Drosophila melanogaster: one gene and its partner. The protein of the gene in region 2 interacts with the protein of the main gene of each other region in a pairwise test. Each region holds a gene or a part of one and is shown on either strand. Other genes may lie near its edges.

Evidence for each region. The genes of interacting proteins can lie anywhere in the genome.
Region 1: the proteins of Spn77Ba (region 2) and CG7786 interact in a two-hybrid assay, tested with the Drosophila melanogaster proteins (one large-scale study listed by BioGRID).

The regions. Positions count from the first base shown.
Region 1 is NT_033778.4:16,232,392-16,238,634, forward strand, and holds CG7786 (uncharacterized protein), read right to left. Parts: upstream 2,546-6,243; coding exon 1,967-2,545; downstream 1-1,966. Other genes in the region: CG15701 (uncharacterized protein), read left to right, coding at 1-486, 576-1,595; CG3687 (uncharacterized protein), read left to right, coding at 4,465-4,640, 4,698-4,953; krimp (krimper), read right to left, coding at 5,943-6,243.
Region 2 is NT_037436.4:20,313,349-20,321,848, forward strand, and holds Spn77Ba (serpin 77Ba), read left to right. Parts: upstream 1-3,841; 5' UTR 3,842-4,424; coding exon 4,425-4,440; intron 4,441-5,035; coding exon 5,036-5,465; intron 5,466-5,522; coding exon 5,523-5,793; intron 5,794-5,849; coding exon 5,850-6,218; intron 6,219-6,276; coding exon 6,277-6,543; 3' UTR 6,544-6,768; downstream 6,769-8,500. Other genes in the region: alphaSnap (alpha soluble NSF attachment protein), read left to right, coding at 445-536, 1,260-1,575, 1,635-1,955, 2,050-2,199; Spn77Bb (serpin 77Bb), read left to right, coding at 7,693-7,853, 7,921-8,224, 8,292-8,500.

The DNA of each region.
Region 1 (6,243 bases), on a different chromosome or scaffold from region 2:
ACGGGACTGCTGAACGCACTGCCTGTGCGTCGAATCTTTGGAAGTGCCGGAAATGGACAACTGGTGGTCACCGTGCACGAGTGTCCTGCGGACAGCAATGTATATAAGGAGGACTTTGCCAGCCTTCTGATGGTGTGGTCACTGGCCAATCCCAGCCAGCCGTTGCGCCTGCTCTCCACCTGGGCGGAAGTCAGCCGTGTGGCACTATCTGCGCAGGCCCAGGATATCGTGGTGGCCGGACTGAGAGATGGTAGTGTGGCTATGTGGGATTTGCGCGAGACGCACAGCTACTGCTCCAAGTTGGATGGCCACCTAACCCATTTTGCAGCCACACAATCGGTGGTTCCCATGCCGGAGCAACAGGACAAGGAGGTAAATGCCATGGATCTGGGCGCTGTGGTGGATGTGCGCAGCTTTAGATCACACTTGAATGCTGGAGGAGTAGCTGCGACTAGTGGTTTGCAGACGACGTACAAGGAAGTTCAGGTAGGTTTTATTGTAGTATTCATTTATAAATTCTATGTAAAGATCTATATGAATACATATAATTAATTATATATGCAATCCTTTGACAGTACGCCTCGCTGAATGACTCCGGCCTGCTGACCATGTGGACCCTGGTGGAGGGCGCCTCGTCCACCAACAGCAACGAGTTCAGTTCGCCGTGGGCGCGTGTGAAGCTACTGCAGAGTGGCAGCTGTGATCTGAGGAGCTATCTGGAGCGACGCCTCCTGAAGAGCCATCAGAGTGCGTACGAGAAGACCAAGTCCCTGTTCCAGGGCAACATCTACAGCGATGATGTGCTGCGTGAGCTGAATGACACGCAAACGCTGACCACGGCACTCCAGGGACAGGGATTGCAGGGCCTGCGCTTCACCAGCATCGATACGGGCAGTGAGCTCATCTATGTGTGCACCAACCGAAACTTTGTGCTCTGCTGCACGCGTAGTTTGAAGACGGAACGCTTCGCGAGGATCGCCGTGAACGAAAGTCGTTTCCTGTTTCCCACCTCGTTGTGTGTGCTCTCCAATGAGAACTATGTGGCCGTGGGTCTGTCCAATGGATCTGTGATGATACTCAACTGCAATCAGCGACAGAGGCAGCGCCAGAGGAATCAGCAGAGACCCAAAACAGGACTTCCGCCGGCCACGGATGAGCCCGATCCCGAGACGGGCAAATCGTGTGCCATTCAAAACATCATACTCAACGAGCGTAGATCATTTGACCAGCAGATGGATGACAATCCCACGTACGATGCCCGACCCAACACAGCTCTGGAGCTGATTGAGCGACCCAGGCGTTCCTACGAAATGAGGGTCTTTGACCAGCAGCTGCTCCTAAGTGGCAGCGGTCTGCGCCAGCATCTCGTCCAGGCCCTGATCCTCTCCAGCGACGGCTGGCAGCTTTCCGCCCTCACCAATGGCACTGTGCGTCACTACGATTTCTATCGCGACAGAGAGTTACCCGTGGAGGAGCTCATGGACACACGCCTCAAGGTGACGGACATTGCCGGTGCTCGAAGTTGTGGACAGGAACAGGTTCTGCTCATCCTGGACTCGACTGGAAAGGTGCAGTCGCGCACTCTGGACTACTAGCTTGTTAAATATTTTCTAATTATTTGTATGCGTTTGTTGAAATCATTTTTTAAAATGAAATAAACTCGAACTAGTCCTACTCACTTTTAATCAATTTTAATGGTTTCTATTGCACAATTTGTGATATATAAATGATATATATATGACTTTATAGAACTATAGTACTAGCACTAGCAAAATACTCTATATAGATGGGCCAATATTTATATATCTGAATAACATATTTTTTTAAGGGACACCTGCATATGCATACATATATTATTAGAATATCCTTAGTATTTATTTTAAACATTTATTAACATCAAACTAAATAATCTCACTAGCTTCCCTCATTGATATGTACACTTTTCCATCTGATCCCGCAGAGTGGTTCACACCTGCCTGGCCATGGACAACATGCCGCCGGCTGTTGTGGCTCCGAGGAGCTGGCGCACCGTTTGCAGTTCATCCCGCAGCGCCAGGACCTGCGCCCGCAGAATGGAGTTCTCCTGCTCCAGCAGCGCTGCTCGGAATGCTATCCTATCCTCGCGGATTTTCCGCGCATCTCTGGACCTCTTGGCCGCCTCGTTGTTTCGCTTGCGCCGCTCAAAGTACTTGGCATCCTTTTGAGCCTCCGGAATGGGTCGCTTTTCACCGCGGACGCGACGGTGCACAAAACCCGGAAACATACCGCCTCCAATTACGCCCACACGATTGAGCTCCATCAGCGGAAATTCCAGTGCCTGGAGAGCGTGACTTGGTGGTGCGATATACTCGAAGGCGGGTAGAGTTTCCGACGATCTCTTGGCACCGATCATGCCGGGAAAGCCCAGACCGGTTAGCCGAAGATTCTGGGGAATGGAAATGGAGTAGGACGGATTGTTCTTGGACTCCAGTTCCGCATCCAGTTCGGAGTGCATCGATACGGTCTCGGTGACATCCAAAATGGGCGACTGGGCGGGCGAGTGCATCCTATATCGGTGACTTCCGTTCGCGCCGACGGCCGGGCTATATCTGAATCCAGCTCCTGGCTAAGAAGCTAGCTACTGGCGAGGCGACCACCTGCCTGCCGTGGTAATTATAGGTTCTTGTCACACAAACTCCCCCACGTACACACACACACACACACATACACCCGCTTTGGGGCTAATTCTAAGCCAGCCACAACCCTCCATCGCCGGCTGATTCAACCAATCACGCAATGTTGACGGTAATTATTCGTCAAATACATGACACTTGGCCGGGGCCGCATGGCATTTATTTGTGCTGCCCGGTTACAAGGACTTCATATAACTGGTTAGCCAGATTACATGCCCCCAGCCCAGTCCAGTCCACCTCTCCCCGCTCGCCGATCACTTCTTGGCCCTTGGAGTTGACCAACTGTTATGTGTTGGGGCGGAGATAGTAAGGCTTACCCATTGTCCATGCGCTGACCAATGAGAGTGACCCTTGGCTATCGACCGGCATTTTGTGGACGAATATAACAGCGATAACAGCGGTAATAGTCTGAAAGAGGCGTGGTGGAAGCCTACTTGCACTCACTGAAAGTTATCCTTTAGGATATCTTACTATATAGCAAAACATGGGGTAATGTAAAATGTAAATCATGAATATGCAATTTTTAGTCATTACATTAAAATGAAGCCATCTTATTTGAACCATTATACAATAGATATACTTTTTTTGATCCTTAAACTGATAGTTCTTGTAGATTCCTATCACTCCAAATCATTTTATCAGATATTCTAGGCATAATATATCTTCAATTGCTCTATGTGAACTTTTTATTTCCGAGGTTTTTTGAGACTTAAAGGATTTTTCCAGCGTGTACCAATCGATTTCAATAGTCCTAAGAGGAATAGCTTCTGCTCCTTTTTAGCTGAGCTCCAAAAACTGCAGCGTCAGAAAGTTGCAATATGCCTAATCCGCTATTATTAAGACATCAAAAAGTTGTTACCAACTTTATTTTGATCAAGCATGATTCTTCAAAATCGTAAAATTTTACTTGCCTTCCGACAATGCCACTCACGACATCCAAGACCACCGTATGCATATCCAACAACCATCGACATGTAAATGAACTCCGTGTGTCGTCTTTAACCCGTTCCGTTTCGTTTCGGTTTGAGAAAGTGTCACCTGTTTGTTTGCCGGGGTGGTAAATTGGCAGTTTGGGTCACGGAGTCCTTGCCGTCTCCGGCAACCGGAAGTCGCATCCTTATGGCGTTTCATAATGTATGCGCTAATTTATTATCTGTTGGCAAAAGTTTGGGCCATACATAGTTAACCCTTTGACTGTCATGCCACCGATGTTTCGTTTATGGTGTTTTGGCCCAACTGAGAGCCGAACCCGGAAATAATGGATTGCGTGCCGGAGTGACATGTCTGGAGAATTGGAGGCAGTCTAATATCCATCAAAGGGTCGAGCGAGATGGATTCGAAATGCACACATATAGAAAGCAGTACGTTTTGGAATCGGTTTGAATTGGTTGGCATTACCAAACCACCAAACTTCTACTCTACGGACTGAGTTCGATTTTTTTTTACCCACCCCGGGGACCCATTGCTAATGCATTGGGAGGATCGTTTTGGACATAGGCTATTAATGCGTTAGACAAATTACCGGGTAATCTAGACAGTAGAACACGTTATTGCTTCGTTGTTTGTTTGGTCAGTAATTGAAGAGCAAACCTCGTGGACTTCGCGGTGGACAAACCGTTAATGACACCTTTAATTGGATGACATTAGCACCCGGGGGTCTGGGGCATGACCAAGTGGGCCCTGCCCCCATCCTACAGTCAAAGCATAGGCTTCGCTTAGCCTGTCTCTCGGAATAGTATTCATCTAACAAGTATTCATCGAACAAGGAAATCGTATTTTTATAAGCAACGAAATGTGTGACGAAGGATCGATCAGGGAATGTGAGCCCACCACCTTGCGGCTTCCTTTCAACAGCTACCACATCAATTTGCCGCTATATATTTTGGACATGGTGCGCATCTTCCAGGATCATCCCAAGTACAGCAATGGTATCCACGAGGAGCACATTCTGGAGATGCTGGAAAAGGAGTAAGACAGATCGAGTAATATACTTAATGGTAATGGTAATGCTAATCATCTAAATAGACCCTTTGCCTGTGGCGATCTGGAGTCGCAGGTGAAGACCGCTCTGCTGGACCTAACGGCCAAGGGATTCATACGCTTCATTACCAATGGATACCGCACCCTGGGACCCATTGCCAAACTCTCCAATGCCCGTTCCGCGCGCCACTTCAACATGACATGGCAGCGCATTGCCGAGCTGCAGAAGGTCAACTGTCCGAGCCTGGAGGCGGGATCCATCTCCAGCGGACCCTGCATCCAGCGCGGAGCCAACTACTAAATGATTTCACTTTTTGTTGTGTTAACCATTTCGTTTATTGAGTTCATTTCCTTGCAGATCAGCAGAGTAACGCGCCACACACACTCTCCACACTTCTTCCAAATTGTAATCGTCTAGTAAAATTCCTACAAATCCAAGTTTCGGGGTAGTTAGTTGAGTACGGGTGGTCATAATCATCATTATGTTGGGAACACATGTCGCGGGGTCTGCCATCCTTTTGACACTTAACCAGGCTAATTATTCTCAGGGGTTGGAATGTCGCAGGTGTTTATAGGGGAAATGCTTCCGAAACTGATTTAAGTATTACCATTGTGAATAGGCCAACTATCCCTGTTTGTGATCTGGAGTACATCCCCGACGAACTGTGCCCCAATGTGACCCTTGGCCAGGCCCATTACCCTTTTGGCCGAACCGTTTAGATTGTCAACACCAGGACAGCGGAGGACACAAGGAGGACCTGTCGTCATCGCAGTCCGAATATGTGCCCGCGAACCAAACACGCATGGGATCCCGGCCAGGTGGTATTTATTGCCTCTCTAATCGTTGCGGCATAATCTATTAGCACCCCACCCGACAGACAGATCCGCGCTTCCACGTCCAAAACGGTGTCCCTTGATTTTTTGCTTTTGCACATTAAAGGCAATTATTTTTATTGTTTTAGTTTCGAGACAGTTTTGTGTTTGTCATTTGCCAATGGCTGTTCCGCGCTCATAATTGAACCAGCCCCAAGATAGGACATTAATCAAGCCACATGACATCTGGATAACATGTTCGAACATAGTCAGTTTATTGGGATCGCTCCGAAGTAGTGATAATTCAAAAACAAAAAGAGTCCTTCGAAAGAAATGTAAGCATTGTCATGATAATGTAAGTGGTTAAATTGTAACATGGTCAGAAATGAAAAGCTTACAAATAGCTTAGGAACTATTGTTATGTAAACTATGTCTACTTTAAATTTGATTAACATTATTCCGACGACTTATCCCGACTTATTGGCTAACCTGAGCGTAGTTGCGTTGCAATAGCTGTTCAGGTATATATTTCCAATCGTCCAGGAAGCGAATTAGGAAGCCATCCGGTAGGCGCTGTACCAGATGTACATTCATCTCCGTGTTTAGCAGCTTACTCTTGAGATACTCGATGCATTCGATTGTCTTTTGGTGTGTCAGATTTTTTGACCTTACAATTCCCTCAATGTGAAAACTAAAGACGCGGTGGGGCTTAAAGCTGTCCACGTTTTCACATGGAGCCAAGCAGCTTAGGGGCACGAACTCCGTGTTGCCGTAATCC
Region 2 (8,500 bases):
ACTGCTGCAAAGTGTTTAAGTGTACAAGTATATTCAACTTTGGCCAGAAATATCTGTAGCTATAGGATACAATATGTAAATGCTTTTGAACTAAAAGCGAATATATATAAAATTTAATAAAATATCTGAAAAAAGATTGTTTGCAACGTTTAGGGCAGCTGTTCTTAAAATGCACCTGCCAGACTGTAGGTGACGCATTCAGGCGGCTGAGAATTATTTTGAACGAACAAACGTTACAGCCCTTGCATTTCACAACACTGGCATGAGTTATTTGAGAATGCTGTGAGATGGTAACACTGGCACCACTTCTGCGGTCACACCAAGTCAGCATATTGATTTTATTTTCTCGAAAAAAGATCCCAATACGTACACACACTCGCTGAAAAGCCGAACAAGTCTTAAACTTAGATGCAATTAGTGCCGAGGCGGACATAAATCCTCGACATGGGTGACAACGAACAGAAGGCGCTCCAGCTGATGGCCGAGGCGGAGAAGAAGTTGACCCAGCAGAAGGGCTTTCTGGGATCGCTGTTCGGGTGCGTATCAAATCAAAGAAGTTTCGCAATTTCTGTGGGAGTGGGGAAATGGAGCTGTGTCTGGTCTAGCCTAGCATCTCCACAACCCCACAAGGTACTGAGCCCTATTCCAAATAGCACTTGGATACCAATTCACTATGCTTACTACTTTGTTTTTATGTATATACCCACTCACCATAATACGTATACGCAGTTGTGGACTCTACGCCTCCACCCAGAAAGAGAAGAAAATAGCGCAAAAGTGCGACTTACAGAGATAAGTTTCAGATATGAAGAACAAAAAGTGTGCAAAATGTCGTTAAAAAATATCCGTAGTACACAATATATGTACACTATGCCATTCGTACAGGTTTCGATGAATCATAGTGCACAAAAGTTCAATCGTGTAAAATAAAAAACAAAGAAATTATATATGTAAGCTGAAATACATTTTTTGTTTTACCCATTCGAACTGTAATTCGTACTTGGAAACTTCCTCAGTTCGCTGAAAAACTTAGTTGTTTTTAAAAATCTACATTTTTAAGGTATTTTACAAAAAATTGTATATTTGCACAGCATCCAGAAACAAATCCAAGTTTAAACAATAGGCTTTTCAAAACCACCTTCGTATATGCATATATAAATGATAATATAAAAATATTATCATTAGTAAAAAGTTAATGCTCTTTTCTGATCCCTTGGATTACATTAAGGCTTATTACTTATCGATATCTACTATTCCAGAGGGTCCAACAAGGTGGAGGACGCCATCGAGTGCTACCAGCGGGCGGGCAACATGTTTAAGATGTCCAAAAACTGGACAAAGGCTGGGGAGTGCTTCTGCGAGGCGGCAACTCTACACGCGCGGGCTGGAAGTCGTCACGATGCCGGAACCTGCTACGTAGACGCTTCCAACTGCTACAAGAAGGTGGACGTGGAGAGCGCCGTCAACTGCCTGATGAAGTCCATCGACATCTACACGGATATGGGCCGCTTTACGATGGCTGCCAAACATCACCAAAGCATCGCCGAGATGTACGAAAGTGATCCCAATAATCTGGTGGGTTCCCGTGTGCGCCTCCATGCTAATTACATATTAATGGACCATTTCCCTTTCAGGCCAAGTCTATTCAGCACTATGAGCAGGCGGCTGATTACTTCAAGGGTGAAGAGTCGGTCAGTTCGGCCAACAAGTGCATGTTGAAGGTGGCCCAGTACGCCGCCCAACTGGAGGATTACGAGAAAGCAATATCCATATACGAGCAGGTGGCCGCCTCCTCGCTGGAGAGCTCTCTGCTCAAGTACAGTGCCAAGGAGTACTTCTTCAGGGCCGCTCTATGCCATCTCAGCGTGGACCTCCTGAACGCCCAGCATGCCATCGAAAAGTATGCGCAGCAGTACCCAGCATTCCAGGACTCCAGGGAGTTCAAGCTCATCAAGGTGGGTATCAGTTTGCTTAAGTTTTATCTTTGGTGTGTGTGTGTCGTCTTTGGTTTTCGCAGATATTTACTTTAAGACGCTTTTCGAATTACAGGTGTTGTGCGAGAATCTAGAGGAACAGAACATCGAGGGATTCACAGAGGCCGTCAAGGACTACGACAGCATCTCCCGGTTGGATCAGTGGTACACCACCATCTTGCTGCGGATCAAGAAGGCTGCGGACGAGGATCCCGATCTGCGATAAACGAAATCAATTAAATTTTCGGATAAAATCGCGTACACATTTATTAAATGCTTTATTCGGTTCGGATATTAATCTACCTATACATATATAACTAAAAGAAAATTATTAAACGTGTTGCATTGCTTAACCTGAAAGCACCCAAACGACGGCCAGCTTGTACGCGTGAATTAAACCTATGGAATAGTCTATATTCCCGTATTCTAGAGTTTAATTTAACGTTTATGCAACGAATGAAGAAGGCAGCAGATGCCGAGGCTCAAATTGCGCTACCACGTGCTATTCAAAAGAAAAACTTTATTATTTCCAATGTGGAGTGATTAGAGGTGTTACTTATGTTTGTCTGTTTTTGCGTTACTCTTGTTATTTGTGTAAGTAGCCAATCAATCAGTGGGTTAGCTGATGTTCCATTTGGATGCGTAAAGTACCCTATAGAAATCTGTATCCACTACTATAATAAATTGAGAACTTCATTCTATGTGTGTAATGTGTTAGATAATTTTGAGATTAACTAAAGAGTCCCTGGTAGCGAAAATGAATTTCAAACCAATTATAATTCCATTTAGTGCACTGAAATAAAATTAAACCTAAAGTTTAGATTGTACGCATATACACAACCTACAAATAAAATATATGTCCACATAAACATTACCGATTACCCCGATAAATATCCAAAAAGTACACGGAATTCTAATAAATACTTGAGGGTCACATTTATAGAAAATTCCATCTCGCAAAATTTTAACGATGTTTAGTAGATCAACATGTACGAGCGAATTATAATCCAATAAATAATATTACGACGGAGCGACGAAGATTACGCGGTCGTCGAGGCCGAAGCAAGAATAAATAAATCAATTATTGAATTTATTGAATGAAGATCTCCAGGAAACACACAACACCACTGAAACCTGACCCAACACATTTAATTATTAATACTGCAAAGATCCTGGTAATGCCTCTATGCAAGCGTTACCACGGATATTTCCAATTCAAATACTTTAATAAAGTTAACGCTTGGATTAATCCTGTCATCCTCTCTTCGTATCCATCGATGTTTCCTAAAATGGTGCCTAGCATATATTCCAGTCCATCCATAAGCATTGTCTTTCTAGTATATCATTAGTTTGCACCTGTCACTTGGGAAAAAAAAATGTTTTTTACCTTGAAGTTTGTTGTTTATTGCACTTGTAAACTTACTGGTATTGAAAACATTCATTTGTATGATTATAAAACACAGTTGAGAGCTACCTGCATATGTCTTCTACAGCTCATATTTGATGTCATCTTAACCATCCATCCACGAGCTTACAATATTGCATATACATTTGAATACATGTAGTTACCTTTTAAAATATCTTGGATTCAGGCACAGTTGATGTAGATGTGATCTAAAGGTGAGTTACTGGAGTTAACCCGGCATTTCAACCAGTTTCACCATCGGATTAGCTGCAACTCATAGTAGTGATTCCACCTGATTTCCATTTCGCGAATGAGGCTTCATTGTCAAGAGCGGCAGACAAAGGTCTGCCAATATCAATACCGCGTTCTCTCGCTGCGGCTCTCGCATCTGAATCCGAGTCTGAACTGATTTGGACCCGGCTGTGGGACGATGGCGGTGGCGGTGGGATGGGATGACCATATCAGTACGGTGCTGAATGGTCGATGGAGCAGTCTCTCAGTCACTCAGTCACTCAGCTGATGCTCGTGCGTTAGGTTGACATTGTTTGTGGGGAGTTGTGTGGACGTGGGTTCGATCTGGCATCAAAATCTTGGCAAAACCGAAAACCACCAGTAGCTGGGTTCACAAATTGAAATAAATATATAGAATTATATAAGCGGCAACCGCATACGCGAACACCCCACCCACCTGTACGTATGGTCTCCTTGCGAGCGTGTATTTGTATACATAATATATGTGGAATTCCCCTCAGTGCATTCCGGTTTTCGAATAACACCGACCGACAACAGTGTATAGAGACATATAGATGAACGTCGCTTTGTCAACATCGAAAAACCCCAAAATACATCAATAAAAGGTTTAAAAGCCTCTCAATAATTGATGCACACCCACATGGTTAAGCAAAAGTGTGATTCATTTGTGTGCGCAATTATTATAAAAATTTTAAAAGCCCTGCCTGAAGGCCCAATTATAAATAATATTAAAAGCCCGGCCTGAAGGCCTGATAAGCGAGGCTTGAGCCAATTCTTGATCGCAGCCACAAAAAATGGGTAAAATCGCAGGTAAGCTTCGTGGTCAATTAATTATGGAATATTTCCCAGAGGCGGGGATGTTGTTTTAGAGGCAATCAATAAAGAGATTTAAAATTTACAAGTACTCGTGTGTGCACAGCAAACACATATTATGTACATACATATATACATTTTGTATTACGTACAAACACATGAGGTCGTCAATGGATCATCGCTATCAATTGGAAAATGCTTATTTTTACGCATCTGGGAATACTATATGTACATAGTACTCACGCGAGTGCCTTTGAATTTCATTCGATTTGATTAGACCGGAAATAGCTATGCCGGATTTTCAGGCAGTTTTTCAAAATCGAGTTGTTGGTTTAACTCATACGGAGTTCAAGGACAATTGGCTAACTGCATATGTATATGGTTTAAACTTACATTCTGAAATGAATAATAAAATTATATTCCGATGGAAAACAGTTACCGTAAAATGATTATTTAACTCGAAATTTATAAAATTATCCATCTTTAACGCATTTTAAAATGATGTTGGTGTAAAATAATACAATAATTTTAGTGCGGCTTTTAACATCATGATCCTTAATGAAATGACGTTCTAATGCACATCTTAATCCAGATTGCCTGATGCTATGGATTCCACTACTCCTGGGAGCCATCTTCCTGTGCTCGGCGGATCCTCAGAACAACCAAGCGCCCCTCCAGCTTTCAGTGGGCAATCCCCTTACCGCATTCACAGCTCCCACGGCTTTCCAAAGTGGCGTCAGCCATATCCAGTCCATGAGAAGCAACTTCGACACGGATGTCCTGGTCAGCATTTCGCAGGGGGTCCAGGACTTCGCCCTCGATCTCCTGCAGCGCATATCCGTTGAAGTGGAGAAGGCCAACAAGGATTTCATGATATCGCCCTTTTCCGTCTGGTCACTCCTGGTGCTTCTCTACGAGGGATCCGAGGGAGAGACCCGCAACCAGTTGAAAAAAAGCCTGCGGATCAATGTCGAGGACGAAAAGCTTCGGGGCGCCTACAAGGTTTGGAGCTCATTTCTGAAGTGAGTTTATAGGATTGCATATTTATGGATCGCGGTGACCCCCTTCCCTCTTCTAAGCATCACCACTTCCACCATCGAAGTAGCCACCCTGCAGGCCATATACACCGGCAAGGGGTATCCCATCAAGAACAACTACCGCGATGCTATTCAAAACTACAATGTCCAGCCGATGGAAGTGGACTTCTATAGCCCGGATTCGGTGATCCAGATCAACGAGGACACAAATCGCACGACCCGCGGTCTGATTCCTTATACCATTCTGCCACAGGATGTATATGGAGCGAAGATGTTTCTGCTCTCGTCTCTGTACTTCAAGGGCCAATGGAAGGTGGGAAGTGAACTTGTCCACTTGCAAATCCTTCGATATATCGTTTTCGCTTGCAGTTTCCCTTCAACAAAACGCTGACAAGAGAGGAACCCTTTTTCAGCGAGAGCGGCGAAGTCATTGGAAAGATTCCCATGATGGTGCAGGAAGCGAACTTCGCCTACGTCTCAAACGTAGAGGGTTTGGATGGCTATGTGCTGGAGCTGCCCTACGGCACCCAGGATCGTCTGGCGATGATCGTGGTGCTGCCCAAGCGCGGATTCAAGCTAAACGACGTAGCCAATAATCTGAAGGCCTTGGGATTGAGGCCCATCCTCCAGCGACTGGCGGCATTCAGGAACAGGGCCTCCGAGGACAACGAAGTGGAGGTCATGATGCCCAAGTTTGTGACTGCCACAGATTTCACTCTTAAGGGAGTCCTCATCCAGGTGACAGAACTTCTAAATCCAATCTGGAAATACATTTGTAAATAACTTCTAATTCTAGATGGGCATTCGCGATCTGTTCGACGAGAATACAGCCAACCTGGACCGAATGTCTTCCGGCTTGTTTGCCAAGCTGGTCGTCCACTCAACCAAGATCATTGTGGACGAACAGGGAACCACGGCGGGAGCCGTCACGGAGGCAGCGCTGGCCAACAAGGCCACACCGCCCAAGTTCCTGCTCAACCGGCCCTTCCAGTACATGATCGTAGAGAAGGCAACCGGACTTCTCCTCTTCGCCGGACAAGTGCGGAATCCCAAGGCGGCCTAAAAGTCCACCGACTCACACTTTACTCACATACCACAATAAATACGTTACGTTAAGACAAAAGGGGGAATTTTATTACGGATCCTTGCAACTCCCTCATGTACCACTTCTGTACTACTGTGGCAGCCCAAAAGATTCCTCTAACGTCACGGCCAGGAACTAAAATCTGTCAGGATACGTCAAGTAAGCAGCACAATGGGGAAGTCTCACTGTACCGCTATATTTTCGTCACATGTAAAAGTTGTTAACGTATTCTTATTAAAGAATATAAATAATATTAATTTACGCGACGATCTTGGTATTACTGATGCCAAGCTTTCTACATCAGCGCCCTCTTGCGGCTTTGAAAATCTTTGAAAATATCGAATAAAACGCGTAGTACAGCTGAAAAACTGCTGTAATGAACACTGTAAAATTAGCAGCTGCAAATTAGTTGAATGGTCTGAACAACTTCGGGCACTTTTGGTGTTCCTTCGCCATGTCACTGGATATTATGGATAAGGAAACTAAAAAAATCCAAAAAAATCGTTCTCTTTCAGAAATTTTGCCAGATTTGACCGACTTGTGGTCGATAGAGTGGGAGAAGAGTAGAGCTGGAGTCCGTATTCCCAAAATTAAAATATCTGTTTGATTCAATTCCTTGTCGATTAGCAATGTCTTTTATTTCGAGCTAAAACGTTAATAGCGTGACCTGGCCACTACTATTCTCCAGATCGCAAAATACGGAAGGTATACGAAGGAGTAAAGCAATACGAAGATAAGGAAACATAAGCTGCAGCTATTAAACGTGCTTGTGCCGCCAGAAGGACCGTTTTTTGGAAGTTTTTACTAACAAAACTCTTTACTGAAACATTTTTTTACTTTACTTTTTTTACTTTATTTTACATACTCATGACAAAATCTACGAGTAACTGATATAAAAAATGCAAGGCACGTGCAAAAAAACGGGAACATAAAAATAAAGTATACATGGCTTGGAATATTGAACTCCACAAATTAACGAAAGTAAATCATATAAATATAGTTTTTTGTAAATAAAAAAACAGTTTTGAGTAGTCTTCGGGTGCACAAAGAGGTAAGAAAAGTAAATGATATTTTTGCTTCAGCTGAAATATTTCTTATCGGTCTAGCCAAGTAAATTTTGTTGACAATATGAAGCTCGGATTTCTGGGGCTTTTTGGCATGGTGCTCATGATCATGTTCTACGAGGGAGCAGAAGGGTATACCGTCAATGAGCTGCGCGATGTCCTGGGGATCTATGTCGATTATCCAACACTGCGCAGGTGGTACGAGGATGTCCGAGCTTATCACTAGTAAGTACCACATTACTCAGAAACTACATCTATTAGAATTTTCAATGTCTTTTTCTTTAAATTCTAGTTTAAATTCGGAAAACACAAAACTGTTTTCGCTGCGTTACGCTTACTACGACGACGTAGGAGATTTAGAACTCGTGAAAGGGTACAACAGTGTAGTCCTAGAAGGAGTAGGAGAAGGAAATGTGGTTCTTCGAGAGGGTCGGCCAAGGGGTGTGGACTTCGACCAGGGGGCGAGTATAATAATCAACGACGATATCGACAAAGCCTCTCATGCGAAAATCTTCAGTTCTTATAGCCGTCGTTCGTTCAATAGTACAGTAACTGTGCTGGGGATTACTGTTAGCTACTTTAAGGCCAAATGGAAGGTAAGACCCAGAGCCAGATTCATCCTCGCTTGTATTGTATTTAATATATCTGATATCATGACTCCAGTATCCATTCGATAAGTCCCAGACGAAAGTGGAACAGTTTTACAACGACGGCGGCTCGCCGGCAGGTAAGGTGGAGATGATGGTGCAAACGGGGAAGTATGCCTACGTCAATAATGTAAAGGGTCTGCAAGCGGATGTCCTGGAGCTACCTTTTGGGGAACATGAGCTAGTAATGATCGTCTTACTGCCGAAGTCATCCCAGGGAGTTAA